Mus musculus: one gene and its partners. The protein of the gene in region 6 interacts with the protein of the main gene of each other region in a biochemical or structural test. Links are inferred from orthologs where the notes say so. Each region holds a gene or a part of one and is shown on either strand. Other genes may lie near its edges. The genes, in order: Abl2, Hck, Nck1, Nrg1, Sh2b3, Erbb3 and Fer.

What was found.
Region 1: the proteins of Erbb3 (region 6) and Abl2 form a complex in vitro, tested with the Homo sapiens proteins (2 studies listed by BioGRID and IntAct, with this or other methods). The link is inferred for Mus musculus from reciprocal best matches to the Homo sapiens genes ERBB3 and ABL2.
Region 2: the proteins of Erbb3 (region 6) and Hck form a complex in vitro, tested with the Homo sapiens proteins (2 studies listed by BioGRID and IntAct, with this or other methods). The link is inferred for Mus musculus from reciprocal best matches to the Homo sapiens genes ERBB3 and HCK.
Region 3: the proteins of Erbb3 (region 6) and Nck1 form a complex in vitro, tested with the Homo sapiens proteins (2 studies listed by BioGRID and IntAct, with this or other methods). The link is inferred for Mus musculus from reciprocal best matches to the Homo sapiens genes ERBB3 and NCK1.
Region 4: the proteins of Erbb3 (region 6) and Nrg1 form a complex in vitro, tested with the Homo sapiens proteins (8 studies listed by BioGRID and IntAct, with this or other methods). The link is inferred for Mus musculus from reciprocal best matches to the Homo sapiens genes ERBB3 and NRG1.
Region 5: the proteins of Erbb3 (region 6) and Sh2b3 form a complex in vitro, tested with the Homo sapiens proteins (2 studies listed by BioGRID and IntAct, with this or other methods). The link is inferred for Mus musculus from reciprocal best matches to the Homo sapiens genes ERBB3 and SH2B3.
Region 7: the proteins of Erbb3 (region 6) and Fer form a complex in vitro, tested with the Homo sapiens proteins (2 studies listed by BioGRID and IntAct, with this or other methods). The link is inferred for Mus musculus from reciprocal best matches to the Homo sapiens genes ERBB3 and FER.

Annotation. Positions count from the first base shown.
Region 1 is NC_000067.6:156,624,609-156,628,537, reverse strand, and holds part of Abl2 (tyrosine-protein kinase ABL2), read right to left. Parts: intron 3,251-3,929; coding exon 2,955-3,250; intron 1-2,954. UniProt on the Homo sapiens protein: Non-receptor tyrosine-protein kinase that plays an ABL1-overlapping role in key processes linked to cell growth and survival such as cytoskeleton remodeling in response to extracellular stimuli, cell motility and adhesion and receptor endocytosis.
Region 2 is NC_000068.7:153,135,603-153,139,531, reverse strand, and holds part of Hck (tyrosine-protein kinase HCK), read right to left. Parts: intron 2,835-3,929; coding exon 2,655-2,834; intron 1,271-2,654; coding exon 1,194-1,270; intron 1-1,193. UniProt on the Homo sapiens protein: Non-receptor tyrosine-protein kinase found in hematopoietic cells that transmits signals from cell surface receptors and plays an important role in the regulation of innate immune responses, including neutrophil, monocyte, macrophage and mast cell functions, phagocytosis, cell survival and proliferation, cell adhesion and migration.
Region 3 is NC_000075.6:100,507,836-100,511,764, forward strand, and holds part of Nck1 (cytoplasmic protein NCK1), read right to left. Parts: intron 838-3,929; 5' UTR 820-837; coding exon 594-819; intron 1-593. UniProt on the Homo sapiens protein: Adapter protein which associates with tyrosine-phosphorylated growth factor receptors, such as KDR and PDGFRB, or their cellular substrates. Maintains low levels of EIF2S1 phosphorylation by promoting its dephosphorylation by PP1.
Region 4 is NC_000074.6:31,915,848-31,920,350, reverse strand, and holds the start of Nrg1 (pro-neuregulin-1, membrane-bound isoform), read left to right. Parts: upstream 1-1,507; 5' UTR 1,508-2,147; coding exon 2,148-2,814; intron 2,815-2,848; exon of another isoform or gene 2,849-3,562; intron 3,563-4,430; exon of another isoform or gene 4,431-4,503. UniProt on the Homo sapiens protein: Direct ligand for ERBB3 and ERBB4 tyrosine kinase receptors. Concomitantly recruits ERBB1 and ERBB2 coreceptors, resulting in ligand-stimulated tyrosine phosphorylation and activation of the ERBB receptors.
Region 5 is NC_000071.6:121,833,965-121,838,374, forward strand, and holds the start of Sh2b3 (SH2B adapter protein 3), read right to left. Parts: upstream 2,896-4,410; 5' UTR 2,586-2,895; exon of another isoform or gene 2,453-2,585; intron 2,296-2,452; exon of another isoform or gene 2,256-2,295; intron 2,141-2,255; exon of another isoform or gene 860-2,140; intron 1-859. UniProt on the Homo sapiens protein: Links T-cell receptor activation signal to phospholipase C-gamma-1, GRB2 and phosphatidylinositol 3-kinase.
Region 6 is NC_000076.6:128,586,469-128,590,906, forward strand, and holds the start of Erbb3 (receptor tyrosine-protein kinase erbB-3 precursor), read right to left. Parts: upstream 3,168-4,438; 5' UTR 3,034-3,167; coding exon 2,952-3,033; intron 1-2,951. UniProt on the Homo sapiens protein: Tyrosine-protein kinase that plays an essential role as cell surface receptor for neuregulins.
Region 7 is NC_000083.6:64,136,343-64,140,271, reverse strand, and holds the end of Fer (tyrosine-protein kinase Fer), read right to left. Parts: intron 2,563-3,929; coding exon 2,440-2,562; intron 1,398-2,439; coding exon 1,255-1,397; 3' UTR 776-1,254; downstream 1-775. UniProt on the Homo sapiens protein: Tyrosine-protein kinase that acts downstream of cell surface receptors for growth factors and plays a role in the regulation of the actin cytoskeleton, microtubule assembly, lamellipodia formation, cell adhesion, cell migration and chemotaxis.

The DNA of each region.
Region 1 (3,929 bases), on a different chromosome or scaffold from region 6:
AAACTGCACATAAAGGAAATCATAGGGCATGTGTTGTCTAGTGTTGATCTATAATTCACATGCTATATTTTAAGCTATACAATTCAATAGCTTTCAGGACATTTACAAGGCTCGCTAACCACCACTGTCTAACTCCAGCACAGTTACTTAGAGCTGTTAGGGATCACGCCCACACTCCTCTCCACACAATTCTCTGGCAAATACTAATCTATTGGTCAACTTTATGCGTACGAAACTCATCTATAGGAGACGGTAGAAAAATTCTCTGAACAGGGATGAAAAACAGGCATCTTAGACTTGGGGCTATATAGGGTTCCTATAGCAACTACTCAGGTCTGCTTAGAAATACAAAGTAGCTTCAGAAAATTCAGAAATGGATAGACAGCTGGTAGGACGGACTTGTGTCTATAGCATCGTGTTTATTTCTGTTTCTGTAGGAGATTCTATCTTAACAATATATCATAATTTATTAGTCAATTATGCTACTTGGTACTTCGATTGTGAGGCTATCATAAACACTGTTGCTGTGAATTAATGTCCTTGCATGGTCTGACACATCTGTGCGCTCGTTTTTGTTGTGCATGTGTTAGAGAGCAGATGTAAGTGTCCCCCACAGACTCATGCTGAAGAGCTCATGGGCTCAGTCAGTCAGCTGCTGCTGCTTCTGCTCCCTTTCTCTGCTATGGAGGGAGTAGCTCTGCTCTACCACACGCCACATGACCCCACCATGGTGGTCTGCCTGGCCACAGCCTACAGGGAATAGAACCATTGATAGTAGACTGAACTCTTTGAAGCCAGGAGTGAAAATTACCTGTTTCTTCACCGTTTCTCTGTGATATTTGTCACAGAGACAAACAAAAGCAAAACAACTAATAATGGCTGCATTTCTTCTTCTTTTTTTTGGTTTTTCAAGACAGGGTTTCTCTGTGTAGCCCTGGCTGTCCTGGAACTCACTTTGTAGACCAGGCTGGCCTCGAACTCAGAAATCCACCTGCCTCTGCCTCCTGAGTGCTGGGATTAAAAAAGTGCACCACCACACCCAGCCCGCATTTCTTCTTATATTAATTACTCTGATACCACTCACTTGGGCCACAAACAATATACTTATATAATGGTTAAAGGGGGGAGAGAGAGAGAGAGAGAGAGAGAGAGAAGAAAAGAAAAGAGAACTAATAAAATATTTCCTGTGCTGAATCAGCTCTCATACTTTACAAAAACTGTTTCATTTAATCCTTACAATAATCTCACAAAATGACTTAATAACAGACAAGGAGGAGACTGACATCACTTAGTGGTTCAATTCTCTTTTCTTTCTTCATACTTTACAAAAACTGTTTCATTTAATCCTTACAATAATCTCACAAAATGACTTAATAACAGACAAGGAGGAGACTGACATCACTTAGTGGTTCAATTCTCTTTTCTTTCTTTTTTCTCCACAACCCCCCCCCCCCCCCCGTTTCTCTGTGTAGCCCTGGCTGTTCTTGAACTCAGAAATCCACCAGTCTTTGCCTCCCGAGTGCTGCGATTAAAGGCATGTGCCACCACGCCCTGCAGTTCAATTCTCTTGAAGAGAGATTTCTCCAGCACCCATTCCAGTTCTGGGGATTCCAAAGCCCTCTTTTGGCCTGTGTGAGTATTACACCCATATGCACAAACCAGCCCATAGGAACACACAACATATTCTAGATACATCATTAATATAAATCAAAAGTCAATGAGGGCAAAGGGAGGAGGTATGGTGGTGCACACTATAATCATACACTCTGAATTCAGACAGGCAGGACAGTTGCTACAAGCTCATATCTGTATGTATGGTCTATATGGCAAGTTCCAGTACACAGAGAGATCCGATCTAAGTCAGCACCACTACCACCACCACCACCACCACCACCACCACCACCACCACCACCACCCCCACCCCCACCCCCACCACCCAAACTGAGACTTAAGGAAAGTCTCACAGCTAATAAATGATGGTGAGGTACAAAGCACAGCAGTTCTGCCTGCTCTAAGGCCGCATGCCCCTCCCACTTTGTCCACATGCCCCTCCCACTTTGTCCGTCCTACTGAGGGAGGAAAGGGGGCTCAACTTCACGAACCATTCAATAGAACAACTGGTTTAAGTTGGGAACTTATAATTTATGTTTGATTTTGTTTTAAAATGTAATTACTATTATTATTTTATATGTATGGGTGTTTTACCCACATGTTTGTGCACCACACATATACCTGGTGCCCATGGAGGTCAGAAGAGAGCACTGGATCTCCCAGAATTGGGGTTTCCGATGGTTGGGAGTCACCATGTGGTACTGTAAATCAAACCCAGGTCTCTGCGGCCCTAAAGAATCTGTGTAACACATTCACTCTACGCAGACTGGCTGGGCAATTCATCTATTGCCATTAGCACACAGTGATGAGAACAGCAGCCTCCAACACCCTCTCACTCTGTGACCTCTCTAGTGGACCGGAGTCTCCTTCCACAGGCTTGTGGTTGACTTCTAACGTCTTCTCTATGCACTTGGTGTGCGTTTATGCTGATGATTAAAACAGCTAACCTGTGTAAATCTCTTCAATCCTCAACTTCAAATATGACTTACCCTTAATTATCTACAACTTTTTTTTGTTTGTTTGGTTGGTTTTTTGAGACAGGGTTTCTCTGTGTAGCCCTGGCTGTCCTGGAACTCACTTTGTAGACCAGGCTGGCCTAGTACTCAGAAATCCGCCTGCCTCTGCCTCCCCCGAGTGCTGGGATCAAAGGCGTGCGCCACCACACCCGGCTTATCTACAGCTTTTAACTGTTTTTTGAGTTGTTTTGAAATAAGCAAGCTCTAATATGCTAAATAGCCCAAACTCACCAGGTTAGGCAATACTTTATTTTATATCAGATATAAAAATTATTTTCTATTTTTTCCCTTCCTACTGAAGAGCCAGTCCACATGAACAGGTCTTACCTTGCTGTCTGTGGTGGTATTGATCCTGTAGTGATACACACGTCCCTCATACCTGAGAGAGATGGACAGCTGCCCAGGGCTGCTCTCACTCTCTCGAACCAGGAAGCTGCCATTGATTAGGCTGCTGAGGAGATACTCTGCTGCGCTGCGGGATACAGGTCCGTGGTACCAGGAATGTTTCTCCAGGCTATTAACTGGAGTGATGTAGTTGCTTGGCACCCAACCCTGTCCATTCTTGGAGCGAACTTCACTCCACTCGCCATTCTGGTTATAACCAAGGACTCGCAGCTTTTCACCTAGCCATCAAGTCATCACAGAAAGAAAGGCATGTTAGGACTGTCAGACTGCAGCAGTGTAGTGTCAAACTGCAAATCACTGAAAAGTGAACCAAGGACTTGGGTTCTTGCTTACTAACATCCTGACTGATCTCTACTCTGAGCAGCTTAACAAAAGAATGGTTTCTGAAGGATTACATATCACTTAAAAAGTCTTCCAGAAACGATGAATTGTATTAAATTAGAATACAGAATTTACTCAAATAGATAGAAAATGACAGTGACTGAGTGTCTGTGTGTGTCCCCCAAAGAGGGGTTGGGGTCACTGGAACTGGAGTAACAGGCAGTTGTGAGGTACCCAACATGGGTACTGAAAACTGAACTCCAGGCCTCTGAAAAAGCACTAAACGCTAACTACTGAGCCTTCAGCCCAGCCCACCTGCCCACCCTTTTCCTTTTATGTGAGTCTCACTTAGTCTAGACTGGCTCGCCTCAGACTCGTGATCCTAATTCAGTCTCCTGAATGCTGGACTACAGACATGTACTAACACTTGAGCAGTACTTACTCCTCAAAAAAACAACACATTTTACTTTCACTTAAAACAGATACACACACACACACACACACACACACACATACATACATAATTATTCATTGTTAATGAACAGGACATCATGTGAAATACAAAGTTACTTAAAT
Region 2 (3,929 bases), on a different chromosome or scaffold from region 6:
AGTCATTCACCATTGTGCGCAGTTTGTACTTAAATTCTTCATACCTCGATTTCAGGTCTGTAGGACGACGGAATGACAATTACCTTCCTACATTTGCCTGCCAGGACTCTGGGCTTGGCTGCTGTGACTGACTTTGGCCAATAGGGCATTGATAAGTCAGTGCAAACAGAGGCTTACCCACTGCTTGCACCTTGGACAGGTCCCACTTGGAGCTCTGATACTGGGCTGTGAAGAAATACTGAGTGCTGAGAGGCTACACAGGGAGAAGTTGTAAGAATGAACGTCACCTTGGACATGCTCCTCACGCCACCTCAGTGCATAGAGTGCTCCATCTAGCCTGCTATAGTCAGTCCAGAGAATCATGGGAAATATTCAGTGTTATCATTTCAGGCTACTAAGCCTTTATCTGTTACATAAGAATGGATGACTTACATGGATGGTGACGTAGCTCAAATGTAGTCCTTCTTTGGCATGTACAAGGCCCCAGGTTCCATTCCTCACACCAAAAATCAACAAACAAAATTATTCCAGAATCTGGAGAGATGGCTCAGTGGTTAAGAGCACTGGCTGCTCTTCCAGAGGTCCTGGATTCAGTCCTAGCACCCACATGGTGGCTCACAAGCACCTATAACTATAGCTCTAGAGAATCTGGCACCCTCCTCTGACATCTGAGGGCAGCAGACATTCATGTAGTACAGACTCATAGACAGGCAAAAGACCCATATAATAAAATAATTAACCTGTTATGAAAAATTCCGTAGTTTTGATGTCAGCACTGTATGAGTTGGTTCATATGAAGAACAGTCTGTATCCATGGGTTCTGCATCTGCACGCAACCAACCGCACAGCAAGAATATTCTAAATCAAATGCTGTCTATAGACTTTAAGTGGTCATTATCTCTTATACAATACGAAATAATAACTGTTTACATAGCATTTGTGTTAGATTCCATAGGCCAGCTAGAGATGCTTTAAGTAGCATGCAGGGGAATGTGCCTAGGGAAAATAGTATATTTACAGTAAATATACTATTTTCTATAAGGGACTTTAGCATACAGAAGTCTTTGAGTACTTGGAGTACTGTGACTAGTCCTTGTGTGTGGGGAGCATGAGTATTCACATGAAAGACACAGAGAACACAAATGACGTCACCTTTCCTGTCACCTCTCCTGACTATCGCTGGCACAACTCACCTGGGCTGAGAAGTCAATGAGTTTTGGCAGTGGCTGCTTGCTGCCTTCTTCACTCTTGAGAAAGTCCAGCAGGCTTCCTGCAGAGGGGAGTGAGAAGGAACATGGACTACTGCTCCTTAGTGAGAAATAAGTAACAGTTTTTCATAGCAATAGAGATCTTTCCTCTTTGCAGTACAGGGACTGAACCCAGAGCCTCACACATGCTAGGCAAGCACTGAGTTACATCTCCAGCTAACCACCTCCTCCTCCTCCTTTCTCTTGTTCGTTTTTTGAGACAAAGCTTCTCTGTGTCATTCTGGCTGTCCTGAAAGTAGATTTGTAGACCAGCCTGGCCAGCCTTGAACTCACAAAGAGATCTGCCTGCCTCTGCCTCTCAAGTTCTGTGATTAAAGGCAAGCCAGGTATGACTTTCTTCTTGAGATAGTGCCTTGTTATATTGTTCAGACTGGTCTCCGATTCCCAGGCTCCAGCTATTTTTCCACTTTAGCTAGTAGATTAGTCTTGACTCCCAGCATTTATCCCCGCCCAGCTGCAGTGCTAGTTAAAGACACATCTACTTACTGCTTCTAGTGTCTGAGTGCTAGAGCTTGAATTTTTCTGAAAGGACTTTTTAGTTGCTTACTAACTCTTTGGTTGATGCGGCCCCATGGACCTGGGTGTCCAGGGCTTTGCTTTAGAAAGCTGGGTGGTTGTAGATTTGTAAAGTAGACTTGAAAAGTAGAAAAAGCTTTGAGTTTTCAAGTCACATTGGATGTTGTTGTATGAGATGTTTATCCAGAAATGACCAGGGACTGAAAATGACTATAAACCAGCTGTTCTAAAACTAACTAACTAACTAACTAACTAACTCTGAGAAGCCGGGTGTGGAGACACACATCTGTAATCCCAGCACTTGAGAGGCTGAGGCAGGACAGCTACGAGATTGAGGCTAGCCTGGGCTACATAATGAGTGCCAGGACAACCTGGGCTACAGAGTGGAATCCTTTCTCAAACATTCTTGAAATATGCTGAATAATCCCAGGATACAGTGGCCCAAAGCTAAGTAGCCTGAAGTGACAACACGGACATTGTCATGATTCTGTGGGTTGGTCATAGCAGGACCAACCACACTGTGAAGTGAGGTGACACAGGTGGAACATTCAAGATGAAGTGGCACCTTTATGGTCTTTCTCCATGTGGCTTCTTGTCCCTTAGAACTTGGAGCAAGACTTCTTTACAGCCCAGCACTGAGGTTCCCAGGTACGAGTCACAAGGAAGCCATGTGATTCCTCTGTCGCCCAGAGGCTCTGCAGCCCCTGCCCCTCCTCTCCACCGAGCTCCCTTCACAGGATTGCACTCTGCCAGCCAGGAGGCTGGAGTGTAGATGCTCTATGAGGTGGCTGTGCCAGAAGAGCCACGCCAAGGCCATCTTGGAGACTGAAAGGAGTCAGCTTGGCCCACACTCTATCCCTGCCCACGCACCTTTGGCCATGAACTCCGTGACAATAAAGATGGGCTCCTGAGAGACCACAGCGTGTAGCTTCACCAGTTTGTCATGCTGCAGCGACTTCATCAGGTTGGCCTCAGCCAGGAAGGCCTCCACGGACATGCTCCCTGGCTTCATTGTCTTCACCGCCACTTTGGTGTGCTTGTTGTAGGTGGCTGGGGAAAGCATGGAGCACGGAGGGTGGTTAGGACCCAGCAGCCCTGGAGGAGCCCTCCCTGCCCATCTTAAGCCTTTAAGACAGAGAGAGAGGCCTGGACACCGGTTCCCTGCCTAGCTGAGTACAACTGAAATACCTACCTTCTCTGGGCTGTCTTCCTCACCCACTAAGTGGAAGGGATAAACTCTCACTGAAGGGCTATTTGCAAGACTTATAAAATCCTCCAGTCTGGGCTTGGGGCACATGCCTGTCATTCTAGACACTTGTCACTCTCAAGACAGTGAAGTAGGAGGACTGGAGGCTCCGGGCCAGCCCATGACTCAGAAGACAAGAGTTGAGACTGGTGCTCAATGGCACAGAACTTGCTTAACGCATACAGGATACTGAGTTTAATCCCTGGGTAGTAACCCTTAAGCCACCAGTTAGACTGCAACATGAGCCTGCATAGCATGTAAGCTTAACGCTGCCTTGAAACAATTACCAGATTCATTATGCCCCATAGGCTCTGCTTGGCCTGATCACACCTACTTTTCTGTCCTTGTCATCCACCAAGGTCACCTCCAACACATGCTCAAACTAGAGACTGAACCAGGGTCTCATACTAGGAAAATGCTCTACCACTGAGCTATATCCCAGCCCCCTTCTCACGTTTTATTTTGAAGCAGGGTCTTACTAAGTTGTTCAGGTTGGCCTTGAACTTGAGTCCTCCTGTCCCAATATATAGCTGGGATGGTAGGCATATATCACTAGGCCTGACTCAATAAATTCACTCTTACTTTCTTTTAAAAAAATAATAAAATAAATTACTCTGTCTCTGTCTCTCTGTCTCTCTCTGTGCACGTGTGTGTGCATGTGTGTGTGCACGTGTGTGTAGGTCAGAGGATGATCTTTTCCAGCAGTTCCCTCTTTTCAGTGTGGGTTTCTGGGTTTGAACTCAGATCATCAGGTGTTTGCAGCAAGCCCTCTTACCCAGTGAGCCATCTCTCTGGCCTCACTCTGGCTTTTACACATTAACCACCCTGCATACACCTGACCCTCAAGTCCTCAGCTGCAGGGACTTGCCACACACTGTTCTCTTGCTCCATCCCACCCT
Region 3 (3,929 bases), on a different chromosome or scaffold from region 6:
AGTAGGCTCCCCCCATCTGCCTTACTTAATAAAGGCAGAAAAAATCTGAACCAAACACACAGAGTTAGAGAAAGAAAGACGTCAACAAAAGTGCAAAGTGACCAATCCTATAGATGCGAATATACAGCAATAACCCACTGGTATAAAACTCTCTTCAGTTAGAATAAAATAAAGTGATTTGTTTTTTAAGTGAGATTCATTAGCGTGTCAAAAAGGTTCAATAATGTGCCACATAACATAGGTTAACAGGATACAAAGGAACCAAGTCTGAACGCCAGGCATTCTTTTCCTTTCTCAACTAGTGGCAAACTTTCTGCAAATCAAAACTCCACAGGAGCTGTTGTAACAAGGTCAAAGTTGGGCTGGAGAGATGGCTCAGAAGTTAAGAGTACTGACTGCTCTTCCAGAGGTCCTGAGCTCAATTCCCAGCAACCACATGGTAGCTCACAACCACCTGTAATGGGGTCTGATGCCCTCTTCTGGTACTTATATACATAAAATAAATAAATCTAAAAAAAAAAAAAAAAAAAAAAAGCCAAAACTAAGATCTAAAATGAAAGCTGTTGCTTCTCCTTCAATAAGAAACAACTTACCTAAGGTGTCCTTCAGGTTTTTAACAATAGATGCTTTCCGAGCACTGTTTTTTCTTTCCACATAGTTAGAAGGGACAAAACCTGTTTTATTCATGGAATTTCGAACTCGCCACCAGGATTTAGAGTCATCCAGGAGCCATAATCGCTCATTCTTCTTGATATCCAGCTCTTGTTCCTGCTGTGCCACATAATCAAATTTGGCCACCACCACCACTTCTTCAGCCATCTTTCAGCAGCGTCAACACTGTAACACATAGAACATGTTTTAAATGGTGCTGAAGTGTAATTGTCTACATGCTTGTCCAAAAAGACATGCTTAAACATTTAAGAGGCCAGGAATTATGACTCATACCAGCAAACCTAACACTCAAAAGGCTGAGGCAAGAGGACTTTCATAAGGCTGAGGCTAGCCTTGGCTACATACTAAGTTTGAAGCTAGAATAAGCTACAGAGTAAAACCCTGTCTCAAAACTAATATACAAAACAGGAGATGGGCGGGGCACTATGCAGTTCAGTAGTAGATACTCCTAGCCCGTGCACAGCTTTGAGCTCAATTCCCAATACTATAAAAAAGAAATAAATTTAAGAGTATCAAAAAGTTAAAAGTGATATGAAAAATGCTAACAGGCAAGTACTAATTTTTAAAAAACACTTGTTCCTATTTGGTATTATATAAACTAACTTACATTTAAAACCACCGTTAGCAATGAAATTCACTACACAGACAACTGAACATTCCTCTTAAAGTAGATAAAATCAAACTTGTATACAACAAATAACAGATGCTTTCTGAACACTTTTGTCTTCCCATATAAGTTATAAAGTACAAAATTAAAATATATTGGTATAACTACAGGAGAAAATAACAGATTCATTATTATAAGGGATAATTTTTAACATATTTATCTCAATTAACAAAACAATCAAGGAGACAAAAGCATCAAGGTTATAAATAACACTGTATTAGTGAGATATAATCGGCCTATATAAAATGTTACTTCTAAACAAAAGAACATATATGGAACACATAAAAACCATCAGTCTGAGGCTAAACAAAGTCTTAGCCGTAAGCTCAGCGCCTGGAGGCTGAGGCAGCAGCATCACAACTCTGAGGCCTAGACAACATTTCAGATCTCAAAAACATCTCTCTCCTTTTATAGTGTTCTCTGGACTGAGAACCAAGTATAACGGATAAATGTGTATGAAAAATGAAGTAATAAAGGCAGGAGCAATGGCTCAGCTATTAAAAGTACTTCCCACTCTTCCAGAGAACCAAGATTTGGTTCCGACTCCCTACCTCAGGCAACTAGCAACCCATTTTAACAACCCCTTGTAACTCCATCTCTTCTCTCCTCTTTATCTCTCTTTCTCTCTCTTACACACACACACACCAAATAAATTAAAAATATTAAAAATAAATATTTAAACTGGAATAATGAAGCCCATTACTTTATAAACTGGCTTAAAAATTATTTTAAACTTTCATGTAACTGGCAAAAGAATTTATGAAGGAGATGTTTAGTTAAAGTTGGGGCTGTTAGCCATAGCCACTTAACACTCAGGAGTTAAATCTCTAAGCCCCTCTCTAATTAAAATGACAATTCTGGAAATATTAAGAAAAAGAAAAAGAACATGCAAATACTAGGAACCGCAACTGTATACTGCAAACAGTCAAAGGGAATAGTAACACAAACAACTTTATAAATAAATCTGAGGACAATAAAATACAATGATCAAACTCTATGAAAAATAAAAAAATATAATTGAATGAGTTAGTTGAATTGTTGGTTTGTTTTGTATTTTGAGGCACTGTTTCTCTGTGTAGCCCTGGCTATCCCGGAACTCACTCTTGTAGGCCAGGCTGGCTTCGATGCCATAGATCTACCTGCCTCTGCCTTCTGAGTGCAGGGATTAAAGGCATGAGCCACCACTGCCTAACTTATATGCATTATTTTAAAATATATATATATATATATATGCAAACACTGTCCTGAAACGTAAGTTTAGACTTGATCTCACTCTGCTTTCTTCAGAGAGATTGTTTCATAAAAGCAGATATGCCTCATGAAGCAAGCAAATAAATTCAGCCTTTTATTTTGGGTATTGACTACCATGTCAGTTTTCTCAACAATGAAGTAAGTACTTTAATCCAGAATTCAACATCCTTTTGCTAAGTATGTCAACAAGATAGATACAGACAAAGGATTTGCAAAAGCCTCAAAATCTGCCACACATTGTTTTATGCTTTGTAAGGGAATCACTTAAGTCAACAAAAATGCTTTTAAAAAGAAGAAAAAGAGACAACATGGTGTATAAGAAACACTGATGAACTAGGAAGGTGGTAGTATCAGTGGTAGTATTCTTGCCCAGAATGCACAAGGCCTCAAGGGTTTGATAGCCATCATGAGAAAAACATAGATGAGCAGAGAAATTTGGGGGAGGGAGTGAGGGGACGCTACTTGTATTACTGCAACTTGACGGTCTGAAATTACTTACGCACAAAGAATCTAAATTATTACTGACATATGTTGTGATTTAAGTTAGAATAAAAGCTGAGGAGGTGCTAATGTGCCTGCTATGCAAACCAGGGGAAGAATTTGATACCTAAGAATGCCAGATGTAGCAGCACACAACTGTAATCCCAGAGTTGGGCACAGAAAATTCCTAGGAGGTAGCATTCCAGAATTTAATGCCAGCCCATCTAGCAGTCTAGCTAGGTTCAGTGAGAAACCTTTTCTTAAATTCTTAAATATAAGGTAGAGAGCTATTAAAGAAGGCATGTAGTTGTCAACTCAACCTCTGACATACAGACAGACAGAGACAGAGACAGAGACAGAGAGAGAGAGAGATTTTGATTGATTTTACAATGAGCAGCCAGCTTTCTGAAACACTGGAAAACTAGAAGCAGGGATATTTTTCAAAGATAGGCTAAAGAACTATGGCTTCTCCCTTATACACCACACCTAATTTATAAAAGCTTAATGGACTTTATTTTGATACTTGACAACTGTCTTGAATTTTTTTCTAGAAAAGTGTGTAAAATTAATAATGAATATTTGGAAAAATATTATTTGCTGACAAACTATATATTCCAGAATTTAATGTCTCCTGTTTGGAGCATACTTGGATTATCCTTCTATTAGAACCTATTGTTATTTTTAGCAATATAACTTGGGAGACTAACTTTAGCTTCAAGCAACTGGATTAATCAAAGCCCCATCAGGATATCAGATTCACTTACTGAACTTTTAAGGCCAATTAAATGAAAGGAAAAGAGCCTTCAGAGAAAAGGTGAACGGCTTTTGAGAAACAAAAAGAAATTGTTTCAGGATGAGA
Region 4 (4,503 bases), on a different chromosome or scaffold from region 6:
AGTTCCTTGGAAGTCATTTGGTTCCTTGGAAGAGTGGCTTAAATGTTCAGATGCACAGACAGACACTGGAACACCACGGAATGTTCCCTGGAGCCTGTGCTCTCTCTTACAGTGAGTTTCTTCCATTTCTTCCAGTACTTCAAGTCCTGTTTCTAAACAAACAAACAAACAAACAAACAAACAAAAATCAGCATGGAAGCTATCTGTAAATCACAGTTTCTGAAACCTAATCCACAAGGCACGCTCTGATTGAAAATTCTCAATACTGGCAGTGCGATTATAGCTGAGGAGATGTGGTGTGTATTACAGTGCCCAGGGAATTCAAGCCTCCTCTGCAGTGTGGAGTCAACATGAAAGGCTAATTTGAAAATGAAGCGGTAGATAGCGTAAGTGTTCCTCTTAGGTTGACATTATTCTAGCTTACTCTGGATGGAATAAGGAGGACTCAAATGTAAAGAGCAGGAAGACACTCGGGACTTTTCCCCTTCCCCCACCCCCCCTCACACCCCGCCCCGCCCCCGCACACACTCAGCATTTCGCTCTGAGCATTGAAAAAGTCTTTAGCCACAAGAAGGTGGCTGAAGGAAGAAGGCAGAGCTGTCCATGGTTTAGAAACAGTGCTCTAACTGCTGGTTGAAAACCGGGTAATAAGAGTCCTGTTAGTGAACAAAACTTATTAGAGAACTGGCTACGGAAGGAAGGAATGCCGCTGAACAGCAGGCAGGAAGAAATTGCTGTTGAAAAGCCTACCTCTCTGGGGAGGAGTCAGAGATCAGACTTTGCCAAGCCTCAGGTCTAACCCAGAAGGTCCCCACCTCCACCCCCCACCCCATCCCCCTCCATCCCAGCTTTGTTAGATTGCTAGCATCATCGATCCCTGGCTTTTTCTGACCCCACAGTGGGTGAAGAGGAGAGAGCCAGCAAGACTGAAAGCAAGCAAGGTGGAGTGTGGGATGGGAGACTGGGGCCTGCTTTGGTAGAGGGAAATTAGAAGGGGGGGGGGGGGAGGAGGCCGGGGGAGACCCAGTTTAGCTGGTTCCCGGCTGCTTCTCTTTTCTCTGGCCTTTATTCCTTGTAATTGGATAAAATAGGAACTCACTGGCGGACCTGCGTTGCTGGGTATACTGTACTTATTAGAGACCAGCTAGCAGTAGAGTGGGGACTGGGGGTGCGGGGCACAGGGGAGGGAGGGAGGGAGGGAGGGAGGGAGGGAGAGGGAGAGAGAGAGAGAGAGAGAGAGAGAGAGAGAGAGAGAGAGAGAGAGAGAGAGAGAGAGAGAGAGAGAGAGAGAGAGAGAGAGAGAGAGAGAGAGAGAGAGAATATATCTTTAGGAGGAGGAGGAGGGAAGAAGAGAAAGAAGCTATGAAGAAGGAAGATTGCAGAGGAAAAAGTGACTGAGCGCAAGAAGGACAAAGAGGAGTGGTTGGGGGTGGGGGTGGAGGCAGGGCGGGGAAGGGAGTTACCGCCCCTCCTGGCTCCTCCTGCCCTCGCATCCTTGTGCAATGGTACTGTTTGCCGTGATGCTCAGAGGGCAGGCACCTGCTGCTCTGTAATGATTCAGCCTCTTTCAGCCGCTGCGTTAACACGACAGGATGCTGTTGCTACTGTCGCTGCTGCCCCTCCTGCCGCCGCCGCTGCTGCTGCCGCCGCCTCCTCTGGTCTTGCTTTTGCTTTTACTTCTCCTGCATGACAGTTGTTTTCTTCCTCTAAGCAGACACCAGCTTCAGACGCTTGAGGTGAGAAACATGCCTTTCAGTTTGGGATACTGGTTTACTTAATCAGCTAGGCATCAGCTTGCTTCCTCTTTTGGTCCCCTGCCTTCTTGAACCAACCGGGATGGTTTGGAGAAGCCTTTGAAAGAACTGAAAAAGTGTCCCAGAAACAACAGCTCAAGATATTTCGGTACACTTCTATTTCATAGTTGCTAGAAGCCCTTCCTTTTTCGTTTCTTTTTCTTTTTTTTTTTTTCCTTTTTTTTTTTTTTTATCTTTTTCTTGCTTCCTCTTAAGCTCTCTTACTTTGGATAATGGCCTTGGACTTGGGTGCCTTATCGATTTCCCCCTTCAAGATGCTGTATCATTTGGTTGGGGGGAGCTCTGCATGGTAATGCACTGTGAGAGAGGCCGGGCCTTCTGGAGGTGATCCGGATGGAGATTTATCCCCCAGACATGTCTGAGGGAGCTGGCGGGAGGTCCTCCAGCCCCTCCACTCAGCTGAGTGCAGACCCATCTCTCGATGGGCTTCCGGCAGCGGAACATATGCCAGACACCCACACAGAAGATGGGAGAAGCCCTGGACTCCTGGGCCTGGCCGTGCCCTGCTGTGTCTGCCTGGAAGCGGAGCGTCTCAGAGGGTGCCTCAACTCCGAGAAGATCTGCATTGTTCCCATTCTGGCTTGTCTAGTAAGCCTCTGCCTCTGCATTGCTGGCCTAAAGTGGGTATTTGTGGACAAGATATTCGAATACGACTCTCCTACCCACCTTGACCCTGGGGGGTTAGGCCAGGACCCTGTTATTTCTCTGGATCCAACGGCTGCCTCCGCTGTTCTGGTCTCATCCGAGGCATACACTTCACCTGTCTCTAAGGCTCAGTCTGAAGCCGAGGCTCATGTTACAGGGCAAGGTGACCATGTCGCTGTGGCCTCTGAACCTTCCGCAGTACCCACCCGGAAGAACCGGCTGTCTGCTTTTCCTCCCTTACACTCCACTCCACCGCCCTTCCCTTCTCCAGCTCGGACCCCTGAGGTGAGAACACCCAAGTCAGGAACTCAGCCACAAACAACAGAAACTAATCTGCAAACTGCTCCTAAACTTTGTAAGTAGTGAGAGAAAGAAAGGCGATGGTGGCTTAAAAGAAAGGGTGGGAGGGAACTTCCAGAAGGCAAACTCTAGAGGGTTAGCTTTTTCCTTTGAGTTTGCATTTTAACCGGGAGGTTTTATTTGGTGAATCACGTGACAGGGAAAAAAAAACAAAATAAAGCAATTTTATAAACTCCTAGGATGAATCAGGTCTTTTAACAGCAACTCCATGTAGCCAGGTTGTTAAGTCTGAGGTTGTCAATTAAGAACTACAAGCATCTTTGAAGTTGGGCTTTGGATGTAAGCTAAGGTCAATTGATTTGCTATAGTTTTAGAAGTTAATATCTGACTGTCCTTCATATTTTAATAGGCATGTAACGTCGGTGTGCCAATAAGTATTATTTGGTATTGCGCCTGCCATTCAGTAGAGTTTCTTTCGACTTTCTTCTTCCCATTCTGTTTCCCCGGAGCCCCAAGCTGCCTGTCATCTTTCTCCAGCTCTTCTTCCTGCCTCTTTAGTACATCTCTGCACGTCTGAATTGTCATTGTTTGATTCTGATACTGCAGCAAGTCTGAAAGACACAGTCCTCCCTCTGCTGTCCTCAGACCTGTGCCGTACATACATTTGGTTACTGAGAACTGACCAGAGGCAGTTTGTATTTTGTTCAAGACAGACTGCAGTTTTCCACAGAAGGATTTTCCTAAATGAGTTTTGTCTTCTGTAATCAAGCATTTAAGTACATTCCTGCCCAGTCGTTAACAAGGTACCTCTTTCTTTTTTTTGAACGTGTGTCATTTAACCCCATCTTGTTGCCAAAGCCTGGCTTAATAACTTGTGTGGGAAAAGACTCCACGCTATTAAAACAATCCAGAATGAAACACTGGTGTGTGCAGAGGTCATTGCCTTAGCTTTATGATGGAAAGTTGACAGCCATGAGATGATGACTAGCCAGATTGTCCCAAATGTCAGCACTGAGCTGGGTCTTTTGGTTACAATATTTAAAGAAATGTTTTTAGTGTTTTCAGTTCCTGTCTTTCCCACTCTTTCTTATTACCATCGATGAGTTTACTTAGTAGGAAAAAAAACCCCTAAGATATGAGAGAATTTGATTCTCAACAATGCATGTGAAACACTTTAGTGTTAGAAGGAGCTGAGGGTAGAGAGTTTATAATAAAGCGCCTCTTCAGTTTTCCCTCTAGACCGTAAGGAAGAGTAAATAAGACCTCCTCCATGCAGTGCTGTTTAGAATGAAGTTGTGCACTATGCTAGGGAAACTCAGGAAAAAAAAAAACAAACAAACTTGATATGTGCACTCCATTCAAGGTTGTTTGACATCTTCCAGCTTCAGTGTAAAGACTTCAAAAGGATGCCTGCGTTTCGTTTCCAGGTGTAATTGGGAGAGCCTCCTGTATGCAGATACCACTTTGCATCTTCCATCAAATCCCTAAAGCATCATTAAAAATCTGACAGACTCTCTGCCTTTGCCGCCTCTCCCCACCTGGCAAAGTGACCGGGAAATAATCCCCAGATGAAATGATGGGCTATAAAAAGCAAGTGCAGTTCCTGCAGAGAGGCAGCATTCTCCACGCAGGCCGACAAGGTTACCTCTTTGTCTTTATTGTTTTCAACAGAAAAAGCTTCAGCTGAGATATGCACGCATTGGTTGAAGTGCCCAGAAAAACTGAGGAGGTAGCTCTTTGAGAA
Region 5 (4,410 bases), on a different chromosome or scaffold from region 6:
CCCAGCAGCTAGGGGGGGCACATCCGGACAGGCCCCAAGGGGCTCCAGGACTGGCTCACAAGGAAGCCAGGGGGCTGGCCCCCCTGCCGACCCTTGACAGGGTTGTGTGGGAGGAAAAATCTTTCAGCCATCTGCTCAGCTGCTGGGGTTTCCGGCTGGCCAGGGCGGGGCAGGCCATCAGGTCCCTTAGGGACTTGTCTCTTGTCCCAATGAGAATGGTACTGGGCTGGAGAGCTCAATGCAGGAGGTGGGGGCGGGGGCGTCACTGAGATCCCTAGATCACTGACCAAGAGACACAGGTTGTCCAGATCATGGGGCGCAAGCAGGTGGTGTCTAACAGTGCCCAAGGGCATGCAACCAGGCCTGAGGTGTACCCGGTCCCTGAAGGACCTCAAGCCCCCGGAAGCTGGAAGCTGGGGTGCAAGGCTCCTGGGTCCAACTAGGTATGACTCAGCTAGTGACCCCCACTGAGTCATTTCCCCTAAGCGGTGTGCCAGCCTCAGTTTCCTCGGGGAGGGTGGGTGGCCGGGAACAGGCCTGGCAGGAAGGAGCAGCCCCTCCAGAAACTCCAGATGGAAGCTGCTTCCTGCTCTGCCCAACCAGAGATGCTCAACACCCAAGGGGCCCTGGGGACCGTTTTCCCAGGAAACCTGGCAATTAAGGGCCAGCCACTCCTGGATTAATAGCAATGGATTAATAGCAATAGCTTAAATTTATTGAGCACTAACATGCCAATACTGCATGCCTCTCCCCGACTCTGTCCTTCAGCACCTCCACTTCAGACTTCCAAGAACACCTGTAACTCTGAGACAGCACAACCCAAGCCTAAGATCTCAGAGTCAGGCCAGTTACTGCCTACCTGCTTCAAATGTCTTCTCCTTGTTGGGCTCCTACATAGTGCACAACCACCTAGAGAGGCACAAGACTTGGCTGACACTGGGCAGGTCCCAAGAGATGTCAGGTAACTTGCCCAGGGCCTCACCCCTGAAGCTAGCAGAGTCTGGATTAGTCTCCACACAAGTGCTGCTCCAGGGAGAAATGAGGACTTGAAAGGAAAGACCTCTCGTTTTAGTTTTAACAGTACTATCTGTCCCATCTCCTCGTGCCAGCAGTTAAAACCCTTCCCGCTCTTGATGACTTTTTCATTGCCTCACAGAAGTGCCCACCCAAAGAGTCACAGCAATGGGACATTCAGCAGCTGACTAGCCTCACAATGTGGGCTGGACCCCCAGAGACCTGCTCTGGAAAGGGTGTGATACAGGCCCAGGCAGCCGGAAGGGGCTCCCAAGCACCTTCAGCTCTATCGCAGAAGTGGGAGAAACCAGATGGTGGCCCAACTAGCCTAGACAGCCTGAGGCACACAAGCTGATGGCACAGCCCAGCTACTCAAAGGAAAGGACCGTCACTTCTCTAAGAACATTTTGAACGATGAGGACCAGGCACTGGGTGACATTTGGTGCCAGAGAGTCAGGAAGGAAGAGGAGCAGCAAATGACCTCAACAAAACAGATAACACCCTTGTCATGACTGCCTGCCCTCCTGATCAAGCCATCCTGTGCTCTGGTGGCCCTCACAAGTTAGGTGTCAACTGAGGGAACCCAGGCCAGGAAGGGGTTTGTCATCTGACCCTGCCCAGGGTCCTTCAGAGTTCCCTGCCCACAGACTCGGGAAACCCCAGAGCAGCTATGCTCAGGAGAGAGCCGAGGACGGTCCCAGGGCCAGGGTCAATAAAACTGGACAGTCTGAAAACCAACGGCCTGTAACTGAGGTCTTCTCCCAACGGCCTGTAACTGAGCCCTTCTCCCAGCCGGACGCAGGTGCCTTCCACACAGCATTCATTAAAACTCCACCTCATTGTAACTGCACCACAAATCTCTTCTCACTCACTGAACAGCGGGGAAACTGAGGTCGCGACCCTCATCTTGGAGAGCAGAGGAGAAAGAACACAAGTTCTGCCTCTAGGACCCTCGGTTTCCTCTCTTGTCACTGCCCAGCCCTTGAGATCCCCAAACCACAGCTGCTGCCGCTGCTGCGGGCCAGCCCCTTCCCAGCTGACCACCCATTGGGACTGCACAAGTTCCAGAATGTATTCACCCCTCCTGGCTCAGATGGCGTTTCCTCCCAGAGGAGGCCTGGGGAACAAGGTTCAGAAAGTGTCCTAAGAGCATAAAACTCTTATAACCTCAACTTCCCCCAGCGGGCCCTGGCCTGTCATGGCCTGTCCCACCCCCTTCCCCCATCTCTGGCTGATTTCACCTTTAGGACTCCGCATATCATCCTTGGTTGATCACCGGGGCACTAGTGACACACGTGTCCCCCCCTCCCACCCTCACCGCCAGCACACCCCCCCCCCCGGCAGGGGCCCAAGCACGCTGTGTGCCGGGACAGCTCTCGGTTCCTCCCGCGGCGCCCCGCCAGGCTCCTCTCCGGAGGCCCCAGCTGAAAGCACTGACCTCCGCGCCCACATCACTGCGGTCTGGGATTGGGGAAGAGAAACAGAATGAGGAAACGCCAGAAAACAGAAGCGGGACCCGGGGACGGCCGCCCGGCCCAGTTCCTCCAACACGCTCGGCGGGCCGCGCTTACCGCGCAAGCTGCGGGTCGGGGCCCGGCCGGCCCATGGCGTCGCACGGCCTCTCGGCGCTCAGGCAGGAAACCCCGGCTCGGAAAACGGCCAGCGCCTCATTTCCGCCGCCAGCTCCTGACAGCAGCCGGGGGACGCGGCCTCGGGCCGTCCCCAGGACGCTGCTGCTGCTGCCGCCGCCGATGTGGACCCCGTGTGGCCCGTGACAGTCTGGGCTGGAGAGCGGCCAGGCGGAGGCGACGGCCCGAGCCCATGCCGCCCCACGCCGTTATGTAAAGAGGAACCAGCCGCGAGCCGCGCGCGGCGGCGGAGGGCGGCCTGGGGGCGTGGCCACAGAGAGCCACGCCCCGGGGCCGCCTGCGGAGGCCGGGGGCGGAGCCTATCCCGGCCCCGCCCTCCTCTCGCGCCTCCGCCCGCTGCCCGGTGGGAGGTAGCATAGCGACAAGCTCCGCCCCCATAAGGCGCGCTCTCTGCACCCAAGTTGCGTCGCGCCCCCTAAAGAAGGGAAAAAAAATAATAATAAAATAAAGAATCTCGAAGGGGAGGAGCGTGCTCGGTCCCGCCCCTCTCGCGCTGGCCAGTCACCGCGTGCCTCGGCAAGGCGGGGCCCCTAGAAGGGGTGGGGCGGGGCTAGGCGCGCGATGGGCGTGGCTGCCCCGACCTTCGGGACCTCCTAGGGGCGCGCCCCTGCGGACTCCCTCCAAGCCCAACCTTATCTGAGCTTGCCCGGCCGGGTCTAGCAACTGCGACCGCGGTTTTCATCACCTCCAGGGGAAGGGGCCAGCCCCACCCTGGCCCCACTATCCATGACTCCGCCGAGCCGTCCTGCCTCCGCGGCGCCATCCATTTGAAGTCCGCTCCCCTCCTAAGGTCCTCGGAGTCCCGGAACGGGCCGAGTAGGCTGTTCTCTACCTGGCCGCCCGGCCGCATTCTCTAGCTTGATGAAACTTTCTCCAAGAGCTCCTTCGCATCCCAGGCAGCCGAGCCCTTTGAACGTCCACGCCTGCGCGCCCCTTAGCCCTTTACCTTTTCTCTATCGCCACATTGGCTAACAGTGGGGTGCCCCTGTTCTGAAGTGGAGTCACTCACTGCACGCCAGTCTTCCCCGCGACTCTACGGAGGGAGGGGAAAGAGGAATGCCTGTCCCCTCCCCCTCCCCCAACAGGAAGCAGGCCGCCCACGCCCCCAGCTTGGAGGGGCCACTGCAAGCCTTCCCAGACGACAGGCTCCCACGAGCCGCTGGCTCCCTGGAGCCTTCCCCTTGCTGCGTGGGACCAAATATTTGACCCCCTCCAACTCAGTTTTTTCATCTATGAAATGGAAATAACACGTGTCTCCAGCCCACTCAGGGACTGGAAGAAGTGAGTTGCTCACATTAGAGCAGCCTAACCAACCGGGCTGAATTCAGTCCCCGGGCCTGCTGTTGGAGCCCGAAGAAGGGACTCCCCCGTAGGTGGGGATTTCCACTACAATCGGACGGCAGCAAGCTGGAGCCTGGTAGCAAAATGGCTTGGAAGAAGCCCCCACCCACCCACCCCCAAAAAACGAGCCAAGGCAATGTCTTAGGCACTATAAGGTGTTTGTGGACATCAGTTAGTGATTCCCTCGTGGGGGCGCCACTCTGGTTGGGAGACAGCATCGGTGACAGCTCCGTTGTGGAGTTGTCTTTGGGACACAGGAAGAGAAATCTTTGAGTAATATTTAAGCTGCGATCTCCCACATGATGAGGGGGGAAGGCAATCCCAGTCAATGCAGCGCCAAATGCAGAGGCTCTAAAGTGCCTTGTTAGAAAAGTAGCAATGGCCCCACCTACAACGAAGGAACACG
Region 6 (4,438 bases):
CACTGATTTGGCACTGAGGGGTTAATACAGAGGGAAGACATGCTGGACTTTCCCTCTCCCTGGAAAGGACACTCTTTAGGCAGGGAACATTTACCCTCTCCTCCTCAACGGAGGCACTTACTTCTCTGCCCCCATCCTGCCTCTCTCTAGGCCCTGGAATAAACATCTCTTTGGGGCTAGCACACAGCCCCTATTGTGTCTACAGAGGGTGGGATGGGGGCAGAGGGTGGGGGCAGTGCCTGGGGCCACAGTTCAGCCCACAATGAAGCAATTCTATCCAGGAGGAGGGGGCTGCCCCACCCTGCCTCAGACACCCCATCCTTAGCAGCACCCCCCTCTCACCCTGGAGCTTTGGCCTCAGAAAAGTGACCTCACTGGAGGGAGAAACCCTGGTAGTGGGGTGGGGAGGTGGGGTCAATGGGAGCTTTGTCTTTAAAGCTGGATGATAAGGAACTGGTGGCCTCCCCTCTCCTAAACTCTGGTTTCCCTTCTCACTCCCTTCCCCTAAGCCAGCATGCTCCAGCTCCCCCGGCAGCAGGCATCCCTGTGCAGTCCCGAAGTGCTTTTCACCAAACAGAGAGGTCTGGAGAGAAGCAGAACAGAGCCTCCACTCCCAAGCCTTCTTCCCAATTTCACTGCCAGAAGGATTCTTTAAAGAGACTGCTAACATGGCAGTGCTCCCCAATAGACACTCCAGGGGAGAGAGCCCAAAAGAGAGGCCAGTACAGTACATTTCAGTTCTTGGGCTTTCACTTTCCTCCCTGGAGCTCTAAGTATCTTTCCTCTGGCGCAGTAAGAGCACGTGGGGAGGGTGGGGGTAAGGGGTACACCACCAACCACCTGTTCTAACCACCCTTCCCTGAGGCGGGGCAGGAGGCAGAGAGCGAGTCAGAGGCCTCAGCTTCTCCTGTTAGATCTATGTCTGGTCTGACCCCTTCTTCTAGATCCTCTTCCTTATCCTTTCTTCATATGATGGAAGGAGTGGGCCAGTTCCAGCAAGGAGGCATAAACAAGCTAGACTCTCCTAGAGAAATCTGGGAGCTCCAGGGTCCTTGGGGTGAAATAAACGCCTGGGAAGGTTAGTCATTTCTGGAAGTGCCCCACCCCTGTCCCCTTCCTGGCAGGACACCCCTCTTCCAAGTTAAGGTGCCAACCCTTCTCCTCAGATAGGGGAGGAGCTAAGATATCTGCATAGGGAAATGATGTGTACCTGTGCGTGCATGCTGGCACACAAACACGTACACAGTTACTCTGGTGCAGAAATATATATTGTTTGCCCCTGGGGCCCCGAGTTGGGAAGTTTTACAAGTGTCCAGTCCATCCCACCTGCCCACAATGCCTTGCACACTTTGTGTCTTGTGCTTTGCAAGGCCCTACAGGTCTGTCTCGGTTACCTGCCACCCTTAGGGTAAAGTCCACATTTCACAAACAGGGGCAAAGGGCCTGGGTAGGACGGGAGTATAAACAACTACCCAGGAGGAACCAGGCAACTTGGGGCGCACAGGAAGCAGCGAGAACTGCGGGTGGGTGTGGGGTGGACCACACTCACAGAGGAGCAAAGGCTCAAAGTCAGAACCTTTCTCTGTGGAGAGCATTGACTGCGCAGACCAAGAACCTCCAGCCCTCAGAAGCCCCAGCCACACACACAAGGGGACAAAGGGGCTATACAAGGCTTGAGACAGGGCCGGATGCCCAGAGGCTCAGGATGGAGATAAAGGATAGAGAACTAAACATGCCTGCTCCCTGCCTCTTGAGGAGGGTGGTGGGAATCTTGGACTCTTGGGTTCCTGGTTGGTGGGGGCACAGTCAGATGGGACAGTGATCCAGTCACTCCCCTGGCCCCTCCCACTTCAGTCTCCAGACCACCCCCTCCACCAGCTGGGAGTGTTCACATCTCAAGATCCCAGGGGCTAAATTTAGGCCCAGCAACTGTGGGGGAAGCACAGGTGGTTTCTCCCACTCCCACTCTGGGGAAGGGGCAATGAATGTGCCAACCCCAAACTGAGATCTGGGGATCTGGGAAAGGGGAAAGATCAACAGGACTCTAATGATACCAATTCTAGTGCTCTTCAAGTGTCCATAGTCCCAGAGACACGGAACAGGCTCAGATGGCATTGAATGGGGGAAGGGCAGAAGTTGGGTCTAGGAGCCAGTTCACAGAGTAGAATGTTCAGAAGGTGGGAGAGGTGGCCTTAGATTGGAGAGAGAAAGAGGTCTGATTGTCCTTTCTTCCAGAGCTCCAGCTTAGGGTATATAACCTGGAAATAGTATAGTATGTAATAGATGCCCAACATGTTCACTGAATTAACCTGGGTCTTGATAAAGAGAAGTTGGTTAAGTTGGGGACCGGTTTATCTTATGGGAAAGCAGGCAGTCAGCCTCTGTGAGACCTCTCACTGATGTCACCTGGACTTGGCCCTCAGGTTAATCTCAGCCTTCTCAGGACAGCCCCACTCACGGAAGAGGAGGTGCCATTCTTGTTTTTCCAACATTAGAAAACAACAACTTCAAACCCTTGCATAGCCCCGCCCTGTCGGCAAAACAACGAAACTGGGGGTTGTTGAAACCTGGAATGGGGTGGGGGCCAGGGAACCTGAGAGCAAACGGAGACCCTTTCAAGCCAAGGCTCCTTACGTTTACAGAAGGGTCCCTGCCCACCCTCCTCCCAAGACTCTCAAGTGTGAACTACTGTTCGGCACCAACCAGATCAGAATAAAACCAATTAGAGGGTCGGCGACGCCCTGGGAATAAGGGTAGGCATACAGGAATGCAGTCCCTGACCAGCCCACTCCAAGAACTGAGGCACACGGTCCCCTCCTTGGTGGTCCGAGCAGACCCTGTACCGCACCCCCCAGTTCAAAGCGTCAGAACCCAAACTCCTTGCCCAGGGTCTGCGAGCGCTCAGATTGCGCCCCCAGCTTCCAGCCTGCTGGGGCTCCCGCGCGGCTTACCTGCCTGAGAGTTGCCCATCTCGGAACCCCGGGCCAGGCTGAGAAGGAAACCCAGCACCTGCAGAGTCCCAATCGCACTCATGATTACAGTGGAGGGTGAAGGGAGCCCAGCCGAGTCTGGCCCGGGGCCCCCAAGATTAGGAGGACATCCAGGCGACAGCCACCTGAACAGCCAGCGATTAGGTGGCCGCGGCGGCAGCGGAGGTTGCAAACTGCAACCGGAGCCGTAGTCGGAGTCCGGAGCGGGACGGCAGGGGAGGGTGTCTGTCTGGGAGGGAGGGAGGAAGGGAGGGAGGGAGGGAGTGAAGGGGGAAAGGGGTGAGTCACGGCCGCGCCCCCTCCCGTGCGAGGCTGGAGTCCTGATGGTTGTAGCCCGAGACACCCGCCCAAGCGTGCCCCGCCAGCCCACAGCTTGGCCAAGAGGGTCAAGGAGGGGTCTCACTCCAGCAATTTCCCCCGGAGATGGTTAAGAGGAGATCAAGATTCCAAACGTCCCCAGGCGGGGGAAAGGTAGTGAATGCGCGTAGGGAGAGCGCTCCGAAGCCCAGCCCCCAGAAAGCTGGCCTCGCCCATTAACCAAATCACTCAACTCCCCTAGCCGGTTGGATCACTTGAGGGATTTTTTTTTTCTTTCGGAGTGTGAGTATTTCTATTTTTTCGAGTGGGAGGTTGTTTTTCAGCCTAGCGTTCATGCCACCTCAGTTTCCCCGGGACGCAAAGCCCCGTAACTCATGTACCCAGCTCGGGAACCCGAGCCCCGGAGGCTGCGTGAAATCGCACTGTCTCCGGCCGCTTCCTCCTGCAGACCCGGCGCCGGCTCGGCCTCTCGGGGGGATTTGCCTGGGGGGCGGGGGCGGTTTCCAGCCTGGGAACAGACCCCGGAGTCCGCCTTCCCACTTCTGCCCGGGGAGGGGCTCCCGCACCTGTCGCCGTCCCCTCTGCTGCCCCCCACGGCCTCCCGAGAGAACAGCTGTCTCTGAGGGACCGACCGCGCCGTCCGGACGGCCGCGGTTCCCGCCTCTCCTCCGCGGACCCCAAAGGGCACAGCAACGCTCACCCCGGAGGCGACAGCGAAGAGGGGCGCGGGGAAGTCACCGCACATGACCCCCGGGACCCTGGGTTGCTTCGTCCCGGACGGGTCCGACTGGCGCCCCCTGGTGCCCAACTCCTTACATTTCGCATCCCTTACATTGGCATTCCAAGATTTTGCCCTGAGAATTTATGGTCCCCTCCCCCTAGGCTAAGGCTATCAGCTACACTCCTTTCTTCTCTTTTGTTTATTTTTTGGTTTTGAGACAAGGTCTCATATAGTTCATATAGCTCAGGCTGGCCTCGAATATATTATATGGCTGAGACTGTTGGCTTCCACCTCCCAAGTACAGATGTGCGCCACCATATCCGGCTCTCCTGCTACAATTTTTAAAAAAATTTGTTATCATTCCTGTGTGTATGATCGTTCGCGCTATGATATGCGTATGGAAGCTGGA
Region 7 (3,929 bases), on a different chromosome or scaffold from region 6:
CTGAGACAACTGTGCACAGGGGAAAGTCCTTGACACAGCTGAGATTGAGCTCAGTCACAGCCTGGTTTTACCTGATGTACATTAGATCCACGGGCGACACTTTAATGCTGTGCTGTATACCTGTGCATTATCAGTAAGATTTCCAGGGAGTGGCTTTAGTGGAAAAGAGGAGATAGAGGTGTGGGTGTCCCTAGAGATTTTCATCATCAATGCTGACTTGACATCTGGCCTGTCCATTTCATTCACAGCAGCCCTGCACTTCAGTAGATATATGTGGATGTGTTTGTAACCATGCATCATGGATTCTGAAGACCCAGAAACTGGTACAAGTAGAGGGACTTTCATTCTGGGATTGTCTCCTAGGATGAAGACACACAATCAGAACCATGCTGCTCTTCCTGTGGACGCTAGTATCTAAGAACGTTTCCACTGGGCTCTATGAACTCCTGAACATTTCTTAGACCTTGTTAGGGAATTGAGACCCAGATATAGGGTATTCTGAAGGCGTACGTCTGGGAGGAAGGCAGGCACTCTTGCTTTCTTCTCCCTGGTGAACACTGGCTAGCTGCCCACACATGCTTCCTGTCATCCTTGTCCTCTGCAGTGTCCTGCAGAAGCTGCTGCCTCTGTGCCCTGAACTCTCTGGAAATTTTCTGTGCACCATTTTCTGTAGCCTGGACTGGGGAAGTAAAAGACAAAATGACACGGCAGTGTGATGTTCTCACCGGGCTTGTTCTGACAGAAAAGAAAGAGAAACCCTAGGAAGTCCAAATGATTCCCAATATATGATTATATTTATAGATATAATCTCGCCTTGGCAGAGTGGAGAGCAACTGTGGTGGGCACGTGTCCTGCAAGCATGCGCTACCAAGGCTGTTTATAGCACCAACCGAGGAGGGCCTGTGGCAGAAGACAGCAGCCCACAGGCTGTGCCTAGAGTAGAAAACCTTGGAGATCACCAATGGACCTAGGTATTAAAGGCAGGCCTTTTTCTTTGGCCTTTACCATTAGTCCTGTGCTTTTCTCTTTACAGCGGTATCAAATGGCAGGGTTGCTGTGGTTAGCTAATACGGCTCTGGGTAGGACTATTTATTTCTTGAATAGATTTGCCTTTAACATAGTTTAAAGTGGAACATACTTTAAAAACCCAGTTAATAAAAAAACATAACCTTCAAAGATGGTTGCAGTAAGGTGGTATAAAGTGGGGGTGACTGAGGACAGAGTCCTACAGGTGGCATCCAGCCCTGGCTGGCACTATGTGATCATCTTCTTGATGACAGTGAGCTCTTTGTGAAGGTCGTTGAACTTAGGGCGGTTTTCAGGCTTGTAATCCCAACACTTCATCATGATTGTAAAAACCTCCTCTGGACAGTTCTGTGGGGCTGACATCCGGTATCCTGAAGATGCAAGAGAAGAGTTGAGAGCTCAGAAAGGGGGTAAGGGCATCATGCTGTGTGAATGTTTGTCCCTTATGCAGTGAGTGGGGTAGAGAGCAAAGACCTGCGCCAGTGTCGTAAACGCGCTGGCGAGCTCGCACATGTGGGTGGCGCAGAGCACACAGCTACAGAGCCACGTACCTGTCAGCAAGTCAGAAGTAGGCCTAGCATATATAAAAGCCTATTTTAGTTGTTCTAAGAAGTAGCTTCCATAATGATCAAACAGACAGGGCAGGCGTGGCTGGGGTTTATACACACATTCAACAGTGAGCTGAGAACAGGCTGGTGTCTAGCAGCATTGGGGCTTGTGCTAGGAGGTGTGGGTTCAGGGAAGGAAGGCGGGCCACCCCCACACTCAGGCAGTCATCTGAACAACATCCCTCTTGTTGGAAGCTGTGTCCCACACAAGCATGTGTGGGTGCTACTGCCATCTTGTCACCCCGCCTCTGTCTGGAGCACCCTGGTGTTTCTTTACATCACAGCTTCTTGGAATTCCTTCTGGAAACTAGAAGCATTTTCACTTGGAGAATTAAGGGACTTATCTGATGTGGAATTTAACACCTCTCTAAGGCAGTCTACCTTCTTTCTCTCTCCCCGTGCTGAGAGCACCTGGCCTTTACTTACTGTGATACAGCGGCACGACTGCTATGTACACAGTTCACACTCAAGAACTGTGCAATTACGTTAGGAAACAAATTACAAAACCAAACACCCAAAAAACAAACAGAACCAAGAATGCTTCAAATACATTTACAGTTGTGTTGCCATGTTCACAGCTATGCTTAGCTGGAAGCTACCTAAGGGCCACAGGTCAGACAGGCTTGCAAATGTTTGCTTCTGTTCTGTAGGAGCCGTAGCATCCATAGTATTCCAAAACAGACTTCTCTAACATCTTTCCTCCTTACTGTGTCTTAAACAGCACTGTGATTCTTCTCCCAAAGCCAGTGTGCGGGCACCACTGGCCTGGTGGACTCCGACGTGAAGCACTAAGGCCTTGGCTCACCTCTCTCCACTTGCTCTCGCGCTTGCTGGTTTGTCATTCCAGGGTACGGGCAGACTCCTAGGCTGAAGGTCTCCCAGAGGAGGATGCCGAAGCTCCACACGTCACTTTCAGAACTGTATCTCCCTGAAAGGGAGGAGATAATGATAACCCGGTGAGTGAATGGGATGAGAAGACAGTGGCTCTGGCTACGCGTGTCAGCTCGTCAGCCTCCACACAGCACAGTCAGGCTTCCATAGGACACCACAGCAACATCCCGTTCTCGGTTCTCAGTACTCGCCTTAATGCCAGGGCTAGTAATGGTAACAATCAAGTGAAGTCTTCAGGAGGCTAGTTCAACTAAATGAGCTACAAAATGTCTTCCCTTCCCCAAGAACAAGAATTCAGCCAGCATGCAGGCTTATGTCCCCTGTGATATGTGGATGAGGATGGTGTGTGTGTACAGACACACATATGTGTATATATACACATTTATACACACATATATGTATATACACATATATGTATATATACATATACATATATACACAAAAACACACACACTTGCACATATCAATGCCTAGGAGATTAAATAAGTCAGATTCCTACAGTTTGGTCTTCTGTCTGTGTCATTTTCTTTCCAGTAAAATAACAAACTTAAAGCATTAAGGAAAGTTTCTTAACTTCAATGTTTTACTCATCACTGTTTGTAGATAGTTTTACATGCTTAAAGGTCTCATTTTCTCTACCGATAGTTTCATTTGCAGAAAATACATTTCTCCATGTGGTCTGAATAGACTGGAAATTAACATAGCTGGCTGATAAAAACAAGTTCTTCAAATTACATGGTGTCTTGTTTTGTCAAAATATCTTGGTGCACCTGTTTTATTGAGCTACATAAGCTGAACTCTTAGGAATGTTTTTGGTCGCTTTCAGCAGAAGCACAGAGATAAAATCCTACCCAGGAAGCCTTGTGGGGATGGATAGGAAATCAGGGAGAAGCAGCAGAAACGTCCCTCCCAGTCTAACACATGGCACATACACACTGTCACAACTAAACCCCACCTGCAGTAATGTTGATGGCATTTTGTTTTTGAAGTGAAACACACACACACACACACACACACACACACACAGGTCTATGTGTATATGATATAGATTGGCCTTTATCTCCAGACCCTCCTACCTCTGCCTCTCCAGTGCTGGGTTACAGGCATATGTCACCACACATAGCATGAAGGTCTCTTGAACCATAGCATTTCCTATCCATCTGCTACCCCAGGATTTGTAAATGACACTCCTAGAAAATGGTCATGTTCCTCTAAAACAGAATGGCCTCTTCCATTCTGGAAGAGAGTAAAATGGCCGAGAGTCTGCCTGTGCTGGGGTGCAGTCCTCAGCCTGCAGCACACACTCATTATCCACCGCAGCTGTGGAAATCAGCTTCCGGCTGAGCTAGGAGGTAATTACGGACATTGCCAGTGCTGCTGGCTTAGGAAAATTACTTTTCTTCT